Linked DNA regions of Saccharomyces cerevisiae S288C. Changing the gene in region 2 together with the main gene of any one other region gives a genetic interaction. Each region holds a gene or a part of one and is shown on either strand. Other genes may lie near its edges.

Evidence for each region.
Region 1: mutations in WSS1 (region 2) and AHA1 together harm fitness more than expected from each alone (negative genetic interaction), as found in Saccharomyces cerevisiae (2 studies listed by BioGRID).

The regions. Positions count from the first base shown.
Region 1 is NC_001136.10:891,211-894,608, forward strand, and holds AHA1 (Aha1p), read left to right. Parts: upstream 1-1,664; coding exon 1,665-2,717; downstream 2,718-3,398. Other genes in the region: UPC2 (Upc2p), read left to right, coding at 1-1,282; YDR215C (uncharacterized protein), read right to left, coding at 2,879-3,292. UniProt on the Saccharomyces cerevisiae protein: Co-chaperone that binds to the molecular chaperone HSP82 and stimulates its ATPase activity.
Region 2 is NC_001140.6:370,058-373,058, forward strand, and holds WSS1 (metalloendopeptidase WSS1), read left to right. Parts: upstream 1-1,691; coding exon 1,692-2,501; downstream 2,502-3,001. Other genes in the region: IGO2 (phosphatase regulator), read left to right, coding at 1-392; NSG1 (Nsg1p), read right to left, coding at 665-1,540; serine/threonine protein kinase YCK1, read right to left, coding at 2,637-3,001. UniProt on the Saccharomyces cerevisiae protein: Metalloendopeptidase that acts selectively on DNA-binding proteins. DNA is needed to bring the protease and substrates together to enable proteolysis.

The DNA of each region.
Region 1 (3,398 bases), on a different chromosome or scaffold from region 2:
TGCTAGTATTATGGAACCTCAGGCGGCTGATGCGGTTTCGACAATGGCGCCTATATCAATGATTGAAAGAAACATGAACAGAAACAGCAACATTTCTCCATCAACGCCCTCTGCAGTGTTGAATGATAGGCAAGAGATGCAAGATTCTATAAGTTCTCTAGGAAATCTGACAAAAGCAGCCTTGGAGAACAACGAACCAACGATAAGTTTACAAACATCACAGACAGAGAATGAAGACGATGCATCGCGGCAAGACATGACCTCAAAAATTAATAACGAAGCTGACCGAAGTTCTGTTTCTGCTGGTACCAGTAACATCGCTAAGCTTTTAGATCTTTCTACCAAAGGCAATCTGAACCTGATAGACATGAAACTGTTTCATCATTATTGCACAAAGGTCTGGCCTACGATTACAGCGGCCAAAGTTTCTGGGCCTGAAATATGGAGGGACTACATACCGGAGTTAGCATTTGACTATCCATTTTTAATGCACGCTTTGTTGGCATTCAGTGCCACCCATCTTTCGAGGACTGAAACTGGACTGGAGCAATACGTTTCATCTCACCGCCTAGACGCTCTGAGATTATTAAGAGAAGCTGTTTTAGAAATATCTGAGAATAACACCGATGCGCTAGTTGCCAGCGCCCTGATACTAATCATGGACTCGTTAGCAAATGCTAGTGGTAACGGCACTGTAGGAAACCAAAGTTTGAATAGCATGTCACCAAGCGCTTGGATCTTTCATGTCAAAGGTGCTGCAACAATTTTAACCGCTGTGTGGCCTTTGAGTGAAAGATCTAAATTTCATAACATTATATCTGTTGATCTTAGCGATTTAGGCGATGTCATTAACCCTGATGTTGGAACAATTACTGAATTGGTATGTTTTGATGAAAGTATTGCCGATTTGTATCCTGTCGGCTTAGATTCGCCATATTTGATAACACTAGCTTATTTAGATAAATTGCACCGTGAAAAAAACCAGGGTGATTTTATTCTGCGGGTATTTACATTTCCAGCATTGCTAGACAAGACATTCCTGGCATTACTGATGACAGGTGATTTAGGTGCAATGAGAATTATGAGATCATATTATAAACTACTTCGAGGATTTGCCACAGAGGTCAAGGATAAAGTCTGGTTTCTCGAAGGAGTCACGCAGGTGCTGCCTCAAGATGTTGACGAATACAGTGGAGGTGGTGGTATGCATATGATGCTAGATTTCCTCGGTGGCGGATTACCATCGATGACAACAACAAATTTCTCTGATTTTTCGTTATGATAGAAAATTTAAAAGTGCAGAATATTCGAAATAGATTCCCAAAAAAAAAAAAAGGGATATTGTGTTACCCAGTTCACAATGGAATTTTCTAGAAGAAAAAACAAAGAAGCCTCGCAACAAACCAAGATGGATTCAAAATGCCTACTTACCGCATTGTATGTGGGAGAATGAACATATCTGTAATTGTATTATATAAAAGTAGTTAGTTTTTTTTTTTTTTTTTTTTTTTTTTTTTTTTTATGTGTAATGCAAATACAAAAAGAACTGCAGGCATTTTGAAAGTTCACTCGTATAGGAAACTTTGATAGAGAGGCAATTCCTTACTTTCGTTATTCCTTTCAGTCTTATTCTTAATCGTTTATAGTAGCAACAATATATCAATATGGTCGTGAATAACCCAAATAACTGGCACTGGGTCGATAAGAACTGCATCGGATGGGCCAAGGAGTATTTCAAACAGAAACTGGTTGGAGTGGAGGCCGGTTCGGTGAAGGATAAAAAGTATGCCAAAATCAAGTCTGTTTCGTCCATTGAAGGTGATTGTGAAGTTAATCAGCGTAAGGGGAAGGTTATATCTTTGTTTGATTTGAAAATCACGGTGTTAATAGAGGGACACGTGGACTCTAAGGACGGATCGGCATTGCCATTCGAGGGTAGCATTAACGTTCCTGAAGTTGCCTTCGATAGCGAGGCCTCAAGCTATCAATTTGACATATCTATATTTAAGGAGACTAGCGAATTGAGTGAAGCCAAGCCACTAATTAGATCCGAGTTATTGCCCAAGTTGAGACAAATTTTCCAACAATTTGGCAAGGATTTGCTGGCCACCCATGGTAATGACATTCAGGTGCCCGAATCTCAGGTGAAATCTAACTACACAAGAGGTAACCAAAAAAGTAGCTTTACCGAAATCAAGGACTCCGCTTCAAAGCCAAAAAAGAATGCACTTCCCTCTTCTACTTCAACTTCAGCACCAGTCTCCAGCACCAACAAAGTCCCCCAAAACGGAAGCGGCAATAGTACATCTATTTATTTAGAACCAACTTTTAATGTGCCTTCCTCCGAGCTCTACGAAACGTTCCTTGATAAGCAACGCATATTGGCCTGGACCAGATCAGCACAATTTTTCAACAGCGGACCGAAGCTGGAGACCAAAGAAAAATTCGAGCTCTTTGGCGGCAACGTGATCAGCGAGTTGGTTTCATGCGAAAAGGACAAGAAACTTGTTTTCCACTGGAAACTCAAGGATTGGTCTGCCCCTTTCAACTCTACTATCGAAATGACTTTCCATGAGTCGCAAGAATTCCATGAAACCAAATTACAGGTGAAGTGGACTGGCATACCCGTTGGCGAGGAAGATCGCGTGCGCGCTAATTTTGAAGAATACTACGTGCGTTCTATTAAATTGACATTCGGCTTTGGTGCCGTATTATAAGATATATTGTTCTCATGTTTCAATAAAAGTATGCGTAAATATTTACATACCACTATTGGCATAGATAGAATGCAATACATCATGTAGTTCTGTACGGCATCCGCGCGGCTCCGATCGCCCGTCCTACTTTTGCGGCCCGGCGCCGACGGCCTCCCCGGAATTTACCAACGAAGAGGAAAATAAACTGGAGTTATAACGCCATTGGCGGGAAACTCCGAAACCATAGCGCCGTGGTCTTTCCCCGGTTTTTTGGCGCCGGGTGTGCTTGCGTTGTGTGAACGGCGCCCTGGCAGCTGAGGGGGAAGGGAAACGCCGGAGGCGACGGCAAGGATGACCATGGCGTCAAGGAACATGCGGAACATGCTAGAATGATTGCCGAAAGGGCGGGCCCTAGTCAATGGCATCATGCGGGAACGTGCAGTAAAGCTCAATGTAACTTGATGCCTATCGGCGTTGTTCGAGCTAAGGACGATGTGATAGACTGAGGAAGGGTGAACGTCGATAGTTAGCCGTTGTGAACTAAATAAAAGTGATATTTTTTCGTTGTTCTTTTCTTGGTTTGGCGGTGTTTTCATTTGTTTTCATGTTTTACTTCGCCACAGGTTTTCAAAGAACAACGCCTTAAAAATAGGAAAACGTTTTCGCTACAGGTGTTGTTATTATTGTTGTTGTGCTGTTGTT
Region 2 (3,001 bases):
CAGAGGATCTTTCACCTACAAGCAGCAGGGTGGATTTGAGCAATCCTCATGGGTTTACCAAAGAGGGAGTGGATTTATCGAAGCTGTCACCACAAGAACTAAAATTGTATAAAATGTATGGGAAGCTTCCATCCAAAAAAGATCTGTTAAGACATAAGATGCAGGATCGTCAATATTTTGACAGCGGAGATTATGCATTGAAAAAGGCCGGAGTCATTAAGTCGGATGACGTTATCGTGAATAATTCTAGTAATAATCTACCAGTGACCAATCCTAGCGGTTTAAGAGAGTCTATTATTAGAAGACGTATGAGTAGTAGTAGTGGTGGCGATTCTATCTCGAGACAAGGAAGTATCTCAAGTGGACCTCCACCAAGATCTCCAAATAAATGACTAATGAAGGAATGATATTATGTGGTATTACTTTTTTTTTATCATCACTAGCTTCGGCTAAGCCCTTGCATTTTCAATATTCAATTACCAAATAATATATATATATATATATATATATGTATGTATGGTATACCTTGTGTTACTGATGTGTTTTTTGTTGACGTCATCCTTTTGATTTACTCACATGCTTAGTAAATGAAGGTTGTTGAGGCCTAAAAATCAGCTAAGATTTACACATCGATACTAATCATTGAACGCCCCTATGGGAACACTTAATTGAATAAATATCTGCCCAACTTGCTGAACATCAAAAACCCAAAAAAATAGAAATCTATAAAATACAACGCCAGTGACAACTGCGAGAAACATTGTGAGCAAGTGAACGCACTAAGGGCACCAATTACTAGACCTGGGAAAAAAACGGTTAAAGTGCCATCAAAGAACAACCACAGAACAATGTTTAATAAGCTCCATGCACCAGCTGCCTGCAAAGAGGAGGACCATTCAAGTTTCCTAATACCAAATATTAAGCCCAAAAGAGTATTGGCACATCTTATAAATGATCCTAGGGTGTTTTTGTAAACTGATGACCTGGTTTTTGGCTGGTGTTGATAACGAACGAAAGAGTCAATGAATGGTACTATGGAACCAAAGATAACACCTTCAGTACCAAATACAGCCCAATCAGGCACCATGTCAGGTTCCGCGACGATCTTGTTCTTAATTTCTATACCATGCTTTAAAAAGGATACGATATCTCCCTTTGCCAATTGGTCATTATCAAACAAACATTCTGATATCATGGGGAAGAGTATTCCTGCTATGAATAGAATAAAAAATGCAGCAATAGTATTGATTATTTTCGCATACAATGACCTTTCGTGTCTCGCAGTCGCGGATGGCGGAACCATTTCCAATTGAGAGGCGTTAGACAATAAAGCCTTGTCATAAACATTACCTTCATTCTTGGTAATATCGTCATCATAAAATGAAAACAAAGCGGGCTTAGTCAGCGTATTTATAGCTGTAAAACTTGCGCTTCCCAGCTTATTTCCCAAAGGTGGCAAAGCTGCCTCTTTCTTGGTATTATGGACACCATTAGGAACACCTCCAGTGTTTAATTGGTTCTTACTCTTCTTCTTGCCCATTAGTAACCTCCTCTGTTTAAATTTTTTTTTTCTCACTTGCTCTGAATACCAAAAGGTGAGTTTGGTGAAGAAATTTTGACACTTTTTCTTTTGCGCTGTATTTTGTAACAACGCATATTTTGAAGATATTCTAAATAAGAGAGATTGATTAATGAAGACAGAAGGAATAAAAAGCCCATCGGCAAAATACCATGATATGGCGGGCTCCCAGAGAATCCCTCACAAGAACCCGCACATTCAAAAAGTGGCTGTTTTGCAAAGTAAGCCCAATAAGGAAGATGCGCTAAATTTAATAAAGGAAATCGCACATAAAGTTTCCTATCTAATGAAGGAAAATCACTTCAAAGTGACCAACTTGGTGGAGTTTTACCCACGTGATCAAAGACTCCTGGGAATGAACGTCAACCATGGATCTAAGATAATGTTACGGTTAAGATGCTCCACGGATGAGTTCCAATTTTTACCCATGGAGTGTATAATGGGCACCATGCTGCACGAATTAACTCACAATTTATTCGGTCCACACGACAAAAAGTTCTACAATAAGCTAGATGAGTTGATTGGAAGGCAATGGGTTATTGAACAAAGAGGTTTGTACGACACATTTTTGGGGAACGGTCAACGTCTCGGTGGAAGAGCAAACTTACGTTCAAATAGATATCCTATGACAGGAATAAGTACTAACACAGGGATAGTGAGAAAAAGGGGCAAAGGTGTGAAGTTAGGGAGTTTGCATCCAGAGGGTATATCATCTATAGATAGAGGTAATTCCCCGAGAGAGTTGGCGGCTTTTGCAGCCGAAAGGAGATATAGAGATGATCGCTGGTGCGGAGAGACGAAGAATAACAAAGATCAAATAATAAGTGATAATATTAGCAGCTCCTTAGAAGTTGTAATCCTTGATGATGATGACGAGGTACTCCCGGGAGATACTCTTATCGAAGTTATTGATCTCACTTAATCTCTTGTCCACAGCGAAGAACTCGAAAATTATAAGTATGGTAAATGTCGTTTCGGTTGTAAAGTATACAGATATATTCACATTACAAAAAATGTAAGAAAGACGGTAGTCTTGCAAAAAATGTCATTTCTATATTTAGCAACAACCTAATTTTTGGAAAAAGCCCTTATGAGAAGCAGCTAGACTTGAATTATCGTCATTTGGGTGCTGTTCAGGAGTTCTTAAAGCAGCAGAAGGTTGTTGTTGTGGTTGATAACGAGCGCCAAACTGCTGAGATTGAGTTTGCGCTTGAGGCTGAGATGGAGGTTGGCCTGTTGCACGTAGCTGTTGCTGTTGCTGTTGCTGCTGTTGCAATTGTTGCTCTTGAAGTTGTTGCTCCTGAAGTTTTTGTTGCTGCTGTCTCTTTTGTTGTTCTTGCAGGTATTTCTGCTGGGTTTGATGCTGGTAAGCTTCATAAGAAGTAGGGTCTAACTTTGGTTTATATTGAGAATTGCGCATAT